2 linked regions of the Diceros bicornis minor genome follow. The protein of the gene in region 1 purifies or fractionates together with the protein of each later gene. This does not show direct contact. Links are inferred from orthologs where the notes say so. Each region holds a gene or a part of one and is shown on either strand. Other genes may lie near its edges.

The links. Proteins that work in one complex are often made in the same cells at the same time.
Region 2: the proteins of LGALS3BP (region 1) and TUBGCP6 purify together in Homo sapiens (co-immunoprecipitation; 4 studies listed by BioGRID and IntAct, counting the BioPlex papers as one, with this or other methods). This does not show direct contact. The link is inferred for Diceros bicornis minor from reciprocal best matches to the Homo sapiens genes LGALS3BP and TUBGCP6.

The regions. Positions count from the first base shown.
Region 1 is NC_080757.1:58,722,632-58,730,299, reverse strand, and holds the start of LGALS3BP (galectin-3-binding protein), read left to right. Parts: upstream 1-4,665; 5' UTR 4,666-4,768; coding exon 4,769-4,789; intron 4,790-6,755; coding exon 6,756-6,831; intron 6,832-7,668.
Region 2 is NC_080764.1:562,733-569,917, reverse strand, and holds the start of TUBGCP6 (gamma-tubulin complex component 6), read right to left. Parts: upstream 3,020-7,185; 5' UTR 2,742-3,019; coding exon 2,001-2,741; intron 848-2,000; coding exon 684-847; intron 1-683. Other genes in the region: polyamine deacetylase HDAC10, read right to left, coding at 3,265-3,786, 3,886-4,068, 4,271-4,349, 4,630-4,686, 4,830-4,921, 5,310-5,394, 5,516-5,926, 6,000-6,106 and 4 more. UniProt on the Homo sapiens protein: Component of the gamma-tubulin ring complex (gTuRC) which mediates microtubule nucleation.

The DNA of each region.
Region 1 (7,668 bases):
CAGACCAGTATCCCTCATGAACATAGATGCAAAAATCCTTAGCAAAAATTTAGCAAGTTGAATCCAGCAATATAGAAAAATGAAAACACTTCATGACAAAGTGTGGTTTCTGCCCAGAATGCAAGGTTGGTTTAATATTCTAAAATCAATCGATGTAATTCAGCATATTAACGGACTAAAGAGGAAACCATATGATCATATCAAAAGATACAGAAAAAGCATTTGGCAAAATCCAACACCCACTCATGATTTAAAAAAAAATGAAACAAAAACAAAACAAACTCTTAGCCAACTAGGAATAAAAGGAACTTCTTTAACCTGATAAAGGGCATCTGTGAAAAACATACAGCTAACATCCTACTTCACTGTGAAAGACTGAATGTTTTCCTCCTAAGTCTGGGAACAAGTCAAGAATGTCTGCTTTCACCAGTATTTTCTCCCCCACTAAACTTTTTATCTTGAAATTATTTTAAACCACCTAGAAGTATAGTGTTGCTATGTTCCCTTCACACAGCTTTCTCCAGTGGTAACACCTTATGTTACCATAGCACAATTATACAGCCCAGGAAACTGGCATTGCTGTCATCACTTTTATTCACCAACCATCTTATTGGAGGTCCCAGAGAGTGCAATTAGGCAAGAAAGAGGAAAGTCATAAAGATTGGAAAAGAAAGAGTAAAACTATCTTTGTTTGCTAATGGCAAGACCAACTAGGTAGAAAAGCCTCAGAAATCTTCAAAAATAACTGTTAGAACTAACAGTTGAGTTTAACAAAGCTGCAGGATACACAGTCCACATATAGAGATTAATTTTATTTCTATATAGCTGCAGTGAACAATTGGAAATGGAAATTTTTAAATACAGTGTCATTTACAGTAGCACCAAAAAACGTGAAATAGATATAAATCTAACAAAACGTGAAAGATCTGTATGCTGAAACTACAAAACACTGATGAAAGAAATTAAAGGAGACTCAAGTGAAACAATATACTGTCTTCACAGATGGGAAGACTCAATTTTGAGAAAGAAAAACAAAGTTGAAGGACTTATACTATCTGACTCCAAGAGTTAATATAAGGCTATAAGTAATCAAAACTGTAATATTGGCATAAGAAACATAGACATATAAATCAATGAAACAGAAGAGGGTCCAGAAACAGACCCATATGTATGTGGTCAGTTGATTTTTGACAAAGGTACCAGGGCTATTCAGTGGGAAACAGATTGTCTCCATAAGTGGTGTTGAGACAAGTCTAATCTGTATGGAAATAAATGATTGAAACCCTTATCTCCCATCATACACAAAGTTAACTCAGAATAGATCATAGACCTAAATGTAAGAGCTGAAACGACGAAACTCCTAGAAGATGACGACATAGGAGAAAATCTTTGTTAGGCAAAGATTTCTTAGATATGACACCAAAAGAATAATAAATTGATCTTTAACCAAATTCAAAACGTTTGCTCTTCAGAACACAAAACAAAACAAAATTTGCAAATCATATATCTGCTAAAGGACTTGTATCGGGATATATAAAGAACTTATACAACTCAGTAATAAGATAAACAACCCAATTTAAAATGTGCATAAGATTTAAATAGACGCTTCACCAAAGAGGATGTACGAATGACAAATAAGCATATGAAAAGATGCTCAACATCAGTAGTCATTAAAACCACAATGAGATTCCACTATATACCCACTAGAATGGATAAAATTAAAAAGCTGGCAATCCCAAGCATTGGTGAGGATTTAGAGTCACTGGAAGGGTGATAAAATTGCTAGTAGGAATGCAAAATGGTTCAGCCACTTTGGAAAACAGGTTGACATTTTCTTAAACAGTTAAATCTACATCTACCATATGACCCAGTAATCCTATCTATAGGTATTTACACACAAAAAATAAAAACTTACGTTCACGTAAAGACTTGTGTGACTTGTCTCCAAATGTTCCTAACAGCTTTATTCATAATAATCAAAAACTGGGAACGACCCAAATGTCCGCCAATGCATAAATGCGTAAACAAATTATAGTCTTTCCATACAGTGGACTACTACTCAGCAAAAAAATGAACCAATTACTGATATTCACAGTGATGGAATGAATCTCAAAAGCTTACAAAAGATTACATACAGTATGTTTCCCTTTTTATGAAATTCTAGAATAGGGAAAGCTGCATGGCAATAAGCAGATCGGTGGTTGCCAGGGTCGGGGCTGGTGGAGGGGACTGACTGCAAAGAGACGGAAGAGAACATTTGGGGATGATGAAAATGTTCTGTATATTATGATGGTCATGGTTACCATCTGTATACATTTATCAAAACTCATTAAATTGATGCATTTTACTGTGTGTAAATTATATTTCAAGCCAATTAAAAAAAAGAGAGAGAGAAGTGTGTGGGTTTGAATCCCAGCTCTCTCCCTTCCAGCTGTGTGACTTTGGGCAGATTTCACCTCTCTGTGCCTCTGTTTTCTCATCTATAAAAGGGGTTAATAAGAGCAGCAACTTCCCATAGTGGTTGGGAGTATTAAATGGGTCAGTTCATGTCACAGGTTTAGAATAGTGCCTGGCTGCATCAATATTAGCATTATAGGTAATGTTCCTGTATTCTGCAGGGGAGGTTGAGTAGAGGCACAAAAAATATCTTGTAAACCAGCTAAGAGTTCTGTCTCTGAAAGCCCCCAGCACTCTCCCTGCCACGTCTTGGCAGTGGCTTCCAGATTACAGCAGCATCGTCCACACTGTCACAGTTGGGCCCAATTGTTTGCAGTGTCCGGGACTTTCCCAGTCTCTCTATCAGAACTGAGCCCCTCCTCTCTGGAGCAGATCATTTCAAGCTCCCGTTCCACGTTCCCTTTATGGGAACCTAAGGCTGGAACAGCCTTGAGAGCCTGGGGAGCAGATACTGTGCTGTGATGCTGTGCTGAGGCCTCCATCTTACATTTTATTTGCCTGGACCTGAAGGACTTTCCAGGACTCTTGGCTAAAGATTCAGCAACTTGAGTTTTTAAACATTTCCACCACCACCTGCCAAAGGACTTCCTCTGCATTCCAGGCCTTGACTGGCCACTTATTTGAGATAAAATCAACGGAGACCATAAGAAGTGACAATGCTGGAGTTCCTGTGTCAGCGAGAACTGAGGCTCTTGATCTGGATGGGATTTTAAAACTCACTCCAGTGTCTTGTTTTGCCAGTTCTATTTCTAGCTGCCTCGCCCCCTGCATCTTTAGTTTCTTTGGAGGGGACTAGATGAACTGTGGAGTCCCCCAAAACCTCACTTCTTGGGCAAATATTCATTGAATGTTTGACCTGGGCGCTCGCCCTCTTGGACTGCAGGCTGCCAGTGTGTCTCACCCGGTGGTTCTCAGCCCTGGCTGCACGTTGGAGCCACCTGGAAGGCTTTTAAATGCCAATGTCTGTCCCCACCCAGAGGTTGTGACTTAATGGGTCTGGGCACTGGGAGTTTGTAAAACTTCTGGATGATTCTCACATGCAGACCAGGTCGACAGCCACTGGGTTAGAGAGACCTGGGGACATTACAAAGGGATAACCCTCGTCCAGAACCTTGGGATGCCAGTGACAGAAACAGAGGGCGTTGATTGCCTCATTTAACTGTGAAGCCCCAGGCTTGACCTTGGCTTCAGGCCAGCTGGACCCAGGAACCTAGTTTCCTCCATCTCGCAGCTCTGCCCCACCTGCTGCCTCAGCTGGGCTTTCCTCGGGCACAGGCTGGGGCACACGGCACAGTAGCTCCAGGCCACATGCCCCCATGGGGTCGCTCTCCATGAGTGTGAGGCCGACTCTCGCTGGGCTGGCTGGGATCACGGCCTGTCCCTGACACCATTGTGTGGCCAAGGGGCCCACAGGGCTCTGATCAGCCAGGCCCTGGTCAGATCCCAGGGCAGCCTGGGGCCCTCAGAACCACACGGTCTGGGAGTGAGAGAGGAGGGCTTCTCCAAGGAAAAATCGAGGTGCTGGCTTTCTGCTGGAGGACAGAGAATGGGGGTGAGGTGGGTAGAACAATTTATGTCCACTCCAGAGGTTCTGTCTCCTGCCCCACTGGGGGTGAGACGCCGGGAGAATGACCATTATTGGGGTGGGTGGCATACTCTGGGGATGTTGTCTCATGTCTCAGGGTCTCCCTCCCCCATTAAGGGGGACGACACTGTGCAGCTTCGCGGGGTGTGGCCCTTTCTGTGAGGTCAGGCATGTCAGGTGCTTAGAGTAGGGTGGACTTGGGAATGAGTGGCCACTCCAGCGCTGTCCACCCTGTGGCAATGTGTGAGACCAGGAAACAGATCGGAGCATATACTAAGACCCCTCGGTCACTGGATGCAGACCCGGCCTGTCTGTGCCCACCCTCTGCTCTTCTTGCTGTCCCCTGCTTCCCCACCCCTCCCCTCCCCTCCCCGATGCCAGCCCCTGGCGCTGGTCCAGCTTGGAAGAGGGTTTAAATTCAAATGTGGCTGTCAGCTGTCGTGCTCTGGTTATCGAGTCAGCCGGACGGCTGCCTTGGGCTGCTGCCATCCCCGACACCCACAGTCAGGGATGAGAGGAAGGAGGGGGGCGCCAGGGAGCCTTGTCAGCAGCCAGCCCCAGGAGAAATCTGTCACGTGGTTTCTGAAAATCGAAACTAGAATCAGTTTTCTGAAGCATTTCCTGAAGGGACCAGCCTGACCACGCTCTGCACTGGGAGGGTTTTCTGGGTTGAAGGACAGTCTGCAGAGGGCTCCTGCAGCAGGAGGTGGGAGGCCCAGGACCACCATGAGCAGTTGCCTCTGGCAGGTAAGCTCAGGCCTCTTGCTCTCTCTACACAGCATCATCTAGTGGGGGCCAAGTCTCCCTGTTTGCACCACCCAGCTGGGGATCTGGTGCTCCTCCTGAGCCCAGGGACCATCATTGCTTCTCCCAGATCTGTAGGGCCTCTGTGTACAGTTGTGCAGGTTGTTCACTGCAAAGGGACACCAGCCAAAGGGGCAAAAAGTCTTGGAATTCAGCCCACGGCCCTCTCACCTGTCTGTGCATTCTGGCCCAGGCCTCCCTTCACCCGAAGGAAGAGCCCCTTTTTCTAATTGGCACAAAGGCACCGTATGGGTCAAGGGCAGCCCCATCCAACTTCCCATATGAGGGAGTCAGGCAATAACAGGTGGCCCCTGCCATCCCAAGGGCAGCGACATTTGCATGCCGTGCACCAGGTATCTGATTGGCCATCTTCCAGGACCCTGAGTTCCTGTCCCAGGACAAACAAACCCGGTGGCAGCGGCTCTCCAGGGAGTGTAGAGGTTGACCAACCATCCTGGTTTGCCTGGGACTGACAGCATGTCCCAGGACGCAGGACTTCCAGTGCTAAAACCGGCACAGTCCCTGGCACACTGGATGGTGGTCACCCTGGCCCCTCCAGCCATCTGCTGAGCTCAATGCAATGCAGGCCCCAACCTGCGCTTACCAGCTGTGTGATGCGGAGCCAGTTACCTCTCTGGGCTTCAGCTCCTTCACTTGTCAGGTAGGGTTAACAAGGCCTTTCTCAGGGGTCGTGGTAAGGGTTCCCTGAGCTGGTGCGTGTGAGCAGCCCTGGCACAGGGGATGCCCATTCAAGGCCAGTTAACAGATCAGTGTGCCTAGGAGCCCAGGGGTCTTGTTAATGCAGAACTAGGGTGCTGCTTCAAGGTGACCAGCCCTGACTTGTAGGGACTCTCACAACAGCGGCCTCATCCCCCACTTGCTGGACCTCGGGGGGTGGGGACGGTCACAGGATTCTTACTGAGCCAGAGAAACAATGACTGGCTCTTCCAGGTCCGGGATACGGGGGGAGGGAGGCAGGTGAGGGGCAGGGTGGGAATGAAGAGGAAGAGCAAGCAGCAAGAGTTACAGAGAGGCGAGGACTCCAGGCAAAACCTGGGAGACCTGGGTTCCCCCACACCAGATGGCTGTGTGGCCTTGGTGGCCCCAGCCTCTTCAAGCTTCTGTTTCTTGGGGACACTGACCTCACAGGTGGCAGCGCCAGGTCCACACCGAGCCCACTCAGCATTTCCTCCCCATCCTGGTCCCGGTAGCCCCAGTCTAGCCCCCACCCCCCCAACCAGCTGCACAGAGACTCAGCACTCAGCTCTGACCTCTCTCCCCCCCACCCCCACTGAACCCCCCCCACCAAGCCTGACATCTCTCACTGCTGCCTGTCCTTCTGTCGCTCCTGGCCTGGGTTACTGTGGCCTCCTCCTGATGTGTCCCCCTGCTCTGCTCTCACTCCCCTCCCTTCCAGGGCTCACATGGTCCAGAACTCCAGAATGTTCTTTATCTGCTGCAGACCTTGGGCACTCCCCCAGGGGTCCGTTGCCTGAAGATACGGCTTAGCAAGGCTCACCAGGCCTCTCCTCATCTGGGCCCTGCACACTCCCATCTCCTCCCTCTCCATCCTCCTCACCGTCACCACTGACAGCCACACCCAGGGCCTTGTTTTCTGAGATGGGCTCCTGTTTCCACTGTCCTCACTGCTCGAGACACCCCCTGCTCGCCCCCTTCATCTGGGCAAGTCTTACTCGTTCTTGGAGGACCACCCTTCAGATGAGGTGAGGGACTCCCACTGGGGTGCCCAGAGCAGCGGGCATTCCTCATACTCACGGCTCTGCGGGAGCAGGGACCGCGCCCACCAGCTGTCCTCCACAAGTAGGGTCTGAAGGATGGATGGACAGACTGGGCCTGGTCCTGAGGGCTGTCCAGCTCCACTGTCTCACTCTGCCGCCTCTTGCTGCAGGACGAGGGGCTCCCAGGCAAGGCCATGGCCCTCCCACAGCTCCTCTGGATGTGGCTGCTGGTCACAGGGACTCAAGGTGAGCCGAGCCCTGGGGAATGCCAGAAGCAACAGTTGGAGAAGCCCCTGCTCCCTAGCTCTACGGGGTTGACCCTCTCCTTGCAGAAAGTCTAGGCAATGTGCTGTCCAGTGCCTGGGTCACCGGGACCAGCCTGGGTCTTCTCTCCTGCTTGACCCTAGTTGTCCCGAGTCATGGTGGATTGTGTCTTGGAGGTGGATACCAAGTGCTTCTCCATTCCACCTAGTGGGAACCAGAGGGACGCAGTAGGAGGGGCACATTGGACAAGCCAAATGCTGGGGGTCATGAGGTCAGTGCCCTTTGGACACAGTCAGCCTTCCAGACTCCTAGACATCTGTCCTCCTGCTCTTTACACCTCAAGGCCCAGGAGCCCCTTCCTCATCCTAGTGACCCCACAAGTGGCCTGCTGCACCCCTAACTGGGAATTGCCCTTTGACATGGCACCCAGCTCTTGCCTTACCCTGTCAGCACCGGGAGGGGCTGGCTGGGGATGTCAGTGAGCTGAGTCCTAGAAGAACGAATATGGGGCCAGGACCCCACTTTCTCTCTGTGCCTGTGTTTCTGGGGGTCCCTGGGCCTGCTGCCCCCCGGCATTCCCCCAGACACCTCCCAGCAATCCTTGCTGTGGTGCACAGGCTGCCCCCCCAGGCCCAGACACCCTCAGGTGGGATCAGCATGGGCCCCTTCCCCCTCCCCACTCTTCCCTGGGGTCCTGCACCCCTACTCTCAGTGCTGTGCACCAAGCATCCCTTCTGCCCCTTTTCTATCAACGGAGCAAAGGGCTGAGACCTCGAAGACAAGACAAGGCAAGTTTACCTTCTATGTGTTGGTTGGGGG
Region 2 (7,185 bases), on another chromosome or scaffold:
TCCCCGCTAATCCCGTTCTTTCATTCACTGCTCCCCAAACTGGTGTTCCACAGAACTGCCAGCAGGTGGGCTGTGACAAAGGGGTCCCATGACCAAACACCTGGAAACGTATGTCATGTGTCCTCTATCCCCATTCTGGAGGTTTCAAGAGACAGCAGCACATCACAGACTCTGGGAGGTCCTGAGTGCAGAGGCCTGTGGGCCGGACGAGCCCAGGGAGCGAGCTGCCGGCACCATCAGGGAAACAGCCATGACTGGAGCCTCTCGTCAGCTGGAGAGCGCCACTCTCAATCCTTCTAGATGCATACAGCAGTATGAAGGCTCCGTCAGCACCCTGAGCCTGGCACTGATCACACAGCCTGCCAGACCGCCCTCAGACCCCTGACCGGGAGCCCTCAGGGCAAGAACGTAACTCAGTTGCCAACTGACCGCTCTGATGGCAAGTGTGGTTTGCAGAAGTCACTGGCATAGCGGGAGCCCCCAAAAAGCCTGGAAGTCCTTTCCCCTCTGCGTTTCTCTCGACACCCAGGACACAGACCATTTTGTACACTAGCTTGACTGAAACTTCCAAGTTCCTAGCCCCTTCACAGCTGTTCTAGAAACAACCGCCTGGGCTCTCTGAGAAAAGGCACTGTTCCACGTGGGGGGAAGGGCAGTGTACTGAAAAGCAGAGGCTCCCGTACCATCCAACTTGCTCCCAGCACCTCCGCTTGCTGGCCTCGTAGGTGAGCACAGCGTCCCACAGGTCGATGTCTGGAGTCATGCCTGGTTCAGACTGGGAATCGGGAGTTAAATTGGATGCTGACTGGAACCCTTCATCTTCTGACTGATCCACACTCTGAGGAACCTGGAGACCATGGGAAAGAAGGAAATAGCACGTATGCCTGAGTCTAAATGTCCCCCAAGTGTGATCAGAATTCCAGGACTTTTCCACACACGTGTTTACTCCTTACAGGAAAGACCTTGTAGAACGTTTCTATTTTTCTCAAGCAGGTATGTACTACACAATGTTTTTGCCCCCACTGAATCGTTTAAGAAGTTAAACAAATTAATTTATTAAGGTTATCGATTTCCAATTTCACACAACACATAACCCTCAATATAACTTACAATGAAATTTTTCCTGAAATGCCTCCAATCTGGAAATTCCACTTTGGGGAATACAGCACACACAAAAAAATCATACTAGACACACAAAAATTTATACACACCAAGATGTTCGCTATAGCATTATTTATGTTTGGAAATAACTAAATATCTCATAGTAAGGGAACGACTAATAACAGCGCATCCTTCCAGCAACATTTATAAAGCCACAAAATACAAAAGCCAATCATGATTTATTTAATAATGCAGGCAAAATCCCATTTATAGGTGAAAAAAAGTATATAAAACTGCATGTAGAGAATGAACAAATATTTTTTGCCACATGTGGCTACTGAGCACTTGAAATGTGACTTATGTGACTGAGGAACTAAACTTTATTTCATTTTAATTAACTTAAATTCAAAAGTCAACTCTAGGGCCGGCCCCGTGGCTTAGCGGTTAAGTGCGCGCGCTCGGCTGCTGGCCGCCCGGGGTTCGGACCCCGGGCGCGCACTGCCGCACCGCTTCTCCAGCCATGCTGAGGCCGCGTCCCACATACAGCACCTGGAAGGATGTGCAGCTGTGACATACAACTATCTACTGGGGCTTTGGGGGAAAAATAAATAAATAAATAAAATTATAAAAAAAAAACAAAAACAAAAGTCAACTCTAGAGGGCAGAGTAAGTGACTAAATACGCCGTGATAGACGAAAGATGAAAAGCAGCCTGCTGTCTTGGTGTGCAGGTTGGCAGCAGCGTCGCCACCCAGGAAGGCGCATTCCAGCAGCCCTGCCTCCCCACAGCTCAGCCACAAGTGGCTTGAGAGCTATCCTACCTTTACCATGACCAAAGGAAGGTCAAAGGAGGCATTTCCAAACGCCTGAGGAGCCAGAGGCGGGAAAGCATCACTCTACCTTAATAGCCAGTCCAGAGAGGTCTGCGCTGTCTGGCACCGGGGGCAGGTCCAGGCGGACATCCATGTCGTATGTACGGCTGTGCACAAGGGCACCGAACAGCGAGACCCGGGTGTCTCTCTCAAACCTGTCACCACAAGGGTCACCATACGAGAAGAGCCCAACAGTGGGCAGGCCAGTGCCCGGCGCCGCCTCCATCACCTGAAGCGCTTTGTGGATCATGTCCTGACATAGATACTCCTCTCTGGAGATCAGAGACTGAACGTCCATCTCAAACACACTCAGGTCGTAGCAGTCGTAGCCGCTGTAGGGAACGTTTCTCCCAACGTACTTGTTGTTAAAGAAGTAGTCCCGCTTTCGCGGCAGCACTCGCGGGGGGCCACTCCCTGCCAGCTGAACCAGGAGGTCCAAAACAGAGCCCACCTCCGCAAGCGGACAGCAAGGGCCTGCTTCCAGCTCCTCCACCAGCTCCTCCAAACGGTCAGCCTCGGGGCCCAGGCCACCCACCCTCAAGTCGAAGGACAGCATGAGGATCTTGTTTTTCACCGGGAGTTTTGAGGGGTCAGGCTGCAGCCTCTGCGTCTCATCTTGAAACAGACTGGTGAAGAGAGCGTTGTAGGCCACCCTCTTGAGGCTCTGCTTCGCCCTCCTTCGGCTCACGCCGCGCTGGCCCAAGCGAGCCTTCGCGACCGGCAGGAGGGCCTCGCACAGGTCGTCGAACAGCTGGGTGATGCTGGCCATGCCCACCCTCTCGGCTCCGGGCACCTCGTGCCGCTCGGCGCCCCCTGCCCTGCGGCCGCAGAGCCCGGCTCGGCGCGGTCCCCCGGTCCGGGCCCTCAAGCCGCAGGATCCCGGCGCGGGACGAGCCCGAGGACACGCTAGCGTGGGCGCACACGGCACACGTGCGGCTCCGCGGCCTTCCCGTGTCCCCGGGAGGGACGGCGAAGCAGGCGCCGCCCAAGGGGCAGTGGGGGCGGCCGGCAGGGTCCGCGGGGTCAGGCGCACGAGCCCCGCTCACAGCCTCCCGGGAAGAGCGCGCTCCCGCTCCTGCCGCCGCCGTCGCGTCACCGCGACGCGACCGGCCAGACCGTCGGAGCCGGCGCGCCGGAACTGCGTCACCGGGGAGCCGGCGGGGCGCGGAGGGGCAGGAGTGGAGCTGCCGTCCAGGGAGCGCTTCCGGCTGGGAGTCTCGGACCCGCGGCGGGGAAACTGAGGCCGGCGCGGGCTGAACCAAGCAGACGGAGTCAGGCTTTTGCCTAACTATTTATTGCCGGGGCGTGGGGGGCAGGGCGGGCCGTCCGCGCAGGGCGGCGGGGGCGCCGAGTGGACGCAGGGCCGGTCGGGACACGGCCGCGGGCGAGCCGTGCCGGTGACGGTTAACCGGCCCTGGGGGCCAGGTGGTGGTGTCCGTCCCGGGGTGTAAAGACTTCCACCCCGGCCGACGCCAAGCTCCCAGGTCACAGCACTGGAGGAGGAGCTGGGAAGAGGTGGAGGGTCCCCTGGCACTGCCGTGAGCGGTTCCGGGCAGCACCCCACTACCCAAGGGGCAGTCTCCCCGCAGAGCTCTAAAGCAGGATGTCCCCAAGGCCCCAAGCATCCAGCCTGAGCCTTGCCCCGTAGCCTCACCGGCCACCTGCAGCATTTTCCACTGCGGCCCCAGCTGCCCTCTCAGGTGCTCCAGGGCCTGCATGTCCTCTGGGGAGGCCCTGGAGAAGGGGCCCAGGCTGGGGGGGGCCTCTCCACGGAGCACCCGGACCAGGACCCCTGCAAGCTGGGGTGTGGATTCCTGGGCCAGGGGCAGAGGTGGAAGCAGAGAGTCACTGGTCTCTCCCGACCTCCTAACCCTAACCCTAACCCCCCAGCATGTCCCCTCTGCCCAACTCACCTCCTCCACCAGTACCAACACTCGGCCCCCTGCTGGTCCCCGCAGCAGTGCAGCCAGGAGTGCAGCTTGGGGGTTCTGCAGGCCATGGGCTGGCCCCAGTGCCACCAGCACCAGGTCAGGCTGGAAGCCATAGGCCAGGGGCAGCACCAGGGCTAGGACACAGCTCAGGAACCCACCAGTTGTCTGTGGGAGGGACAGGAGCATGGCCCCAGCCCCTCATTCAGGGGATACCCCTCCTGCCAGCTCAGGCCACCCCACCTCCCAATCTTTGGTGGGCAACTACACCAGCAGTCCCATCAGGAAGCCAGGAAGGAAGCCAGGGGCCTGGCCCTCATGACGATTCCAGTAAGCAGCAGCTGCCCTGCCCTGTGACATCACCACTCACCTCTGGTAGTGGCATGGAGACGTGGAACATGGACAGGGCAGCTGCCTCCTTGCCCCTGATATTCAGCCATAGATTCCTTCTTCCAGGGGAGAGTGAGCACATGGACACGTGTGCATGTGTGTGAGACGCTGCTCACCCTCCAGAACCCAGACTTCAGAAGGGGAGGTAGAGAGCTTGGGGGGGACAGGTGCTAGGACTGCTGACCCTCTATAGTGGAGACTCTCCTGGCATTGCTCCCAAGGGCCCCTCTACCAAATTCTAGCTGTAGAAGACTCCCCCCACCCATCACGCCTGGGGCCCCAGGGTCATGTGCCCACTCACAGGCAGGATTGGACATACACATGACCCAGGAGTCATACCCATCATCGGCAAGGTCTAGGGGCCGATCCAGCTGTCCCACAGCCACACAGAGCAGCCTAGAGGAAGAGTCGGCCCCAGGACAGGCTGCACTCACCCCTCCTGGAGTCCATTCCCAGAGCCCTCCCCATGTGGCTAGCCAGGGCAGGAGATGCCCTTGGGCCATTCCCTCAGAGGCTCAGGCTGGCCAGGTGAGGCTCACCTCTGGGCTCCATGAGACAGGCCACACCGAATGGCCACATCCAGGGTGGCAGCTGCAGCAGGGGCCGGGGTGGCTGCGATGCCGCTGCTCACCTGTGGAGTGAATAACAGCAGTGGAGGGCAATTCCCAAAAAGGTAAACAGACCCGAACATCCCTTCTTTGGCCCTTGTCCACGTGGCTGTCATCTGTATACACTGAAGTCAAATTGTTCTACTTTTGAAAATAAGATGTTTAAAACCACACCTTAAGTCACCCCCTTCACCGTTCTGCCAAAGAGTATTTAGTTGAGGGAACTGAGGAGGGGTGCTCAAGAACCCCGTCCCTGGGGGCTATTCTAGGAGGGGTCCTGGGCACAAGGCCACACTCGTGTCGTGGTTCTGCACCACCCAGTCCTCCCCTGGACAGGCCACCCATCACGGGTAGGTCCTGGGCCCTGCCCCTGGCTCCACAGCCACCCCCGCCCCTCCCAGGTGCCCCCACCTGCCCATCCAGGATCCCATCCAAGAGATACAGGACCTTCCCGAGTGCAGTGAGGGCCTTGTCCTGGGCCAAGGCCTCATGTGGCCTGTGGTGGGCAAACCAGAGGGACACATGGACATAGGGTGACACATAGACCACAGGTGAGTCACACACAGGCATATGGGTGGACACAGCCTCACCCCTCTCCCCAGGCCCACTCTGCCCACCTGGCCCAGACCTGCGTCTCCTCCTGCGGGGCTGACCCCTCCTGATGGAGGACATCAGGGGGCAGGAGCAGTGCTGCATCCAGCGCAGTCAGGGCAACAGCTGTGCGGACGGAGGGCGTGGGGTGGAGGCGCAGCTGGTCCAGGAGGGAGCTCAATGCAGCCACGGCCTGGGCCGCTGCTGCCTTGAATTCGGGCCCGCCAGGCAACAGAGGTGAGAGCCTCCCCTCTGGGGAGCCGGTGCTGGGACTCAGTACAGGGGCCACATCTAGAGGTGGTTCAGAGTTACTGCCGCTTACTGGGAGCCCGAGGTGTGATCCCACCTCCCAGCCCAGGCCACAATGACCTTGCTCCTGGAGGCTCATCCAGTGAGGAGCCTGGGCTGCCCGGACACTCTGGATGGACTCCAGGGCGCTGCAGGGACAGGCAGGAGTAGTGAGGCCTGGCCTCATGCCCCCAGCCCTTCCCACCCTCCTGCCCCTCGCACCTGCGATGCGGCTCCATGCACCCTGACAGGGGTGGGACAGGGTCACCCAGCAGTGCCTGTACCATCATGCACACCGACTGAGAGAGCGACTCCAGGTGGTAGCCACCCTGGAAGGTGGAGGAGGGCAGAGATGTGACTGGGGAAGGGGGTCATTGGGGCAGGATGTTGCCATCCCAGGCAGGACGCCATACCCATGCAGCAGACCCCCTCTGACTGCTCCTCAGCCTCTGGCCCGTGCACCCTCCCTGCTCGCCGCAGTCACCTCCAGCACGGCACAGACCCGGCCGCCAGCCAGCACCTGCAGCAGCTGCGTGAGGTGGGCAAAGCACTCTGGCGTGGCCTGCATCTGCCCCTGGAATCAGAGCCACTGTGAAGGGGGCCTGGCCCGGGACCCCAGGAGCCCTCCCCAGCCAGGCTAGGCCCTCACCTCGGGATCCCCAACCGCTGAGTCAAATCCTGCTGCGACTAGCACCAGCTCAGGGTCAAACTGTGGGCAGGGCCGGTGGAGAGGAGCAGGAAAGAGGCTGGAGCAGGGACAGAGGAGGCCCCTCCAGAGAGACCCTCCCCACCCACCTGGGCTTTGTTCCACTCTGATGGAGTTGACAGGACTCTGGGCACCGAATACCCCATCTCACCCTCCTGCCATCGAGACCACCCCAACGCCCCACGCAGTCACCTCAAAGGCCAGGGGGAGCAGCACGTGCAGGAAGGCAGCCACGTAGTCAGCATTTCCCATCCCAACCTGCGGCCACAGGGTGTCAGTGTTGGGCCTCGCCAGGGGGATGTGGGGTCTTCACCCCTGGGGCCTGGCCTCTGGGGGTGACCCTGGCAGGATGCCTGGGCTCCACTCAGGAGGCCCGGAGCTGTGGGGCAGGGGAGGTGGGCTGGGGGAGGGGCAGGCACCTGGTTCCAGGGCAGGTTGACAGTGAAGCCGCGGCCCTGCCCCTGCCCGACAGCATCTGCATCTGATTCGCGCAGACAGGGCCAGAAGCGCCCGTGTTCGTAGCGGTGCCAGGAGAAGTAAAGGACGCTGTGACAGCCAGCCGGGGTCAGAGGTCAGAGATCAGGACCCTTAGCTCCACAGCTCCTCAAAGAACCCTGATCCCTAAGCACACGGCCACGTCTCCCCCGTCAGATTTTCTGAGACCAGGCTGAGCACTCCAAAGAGTTGCGTCGCATGGAAGGG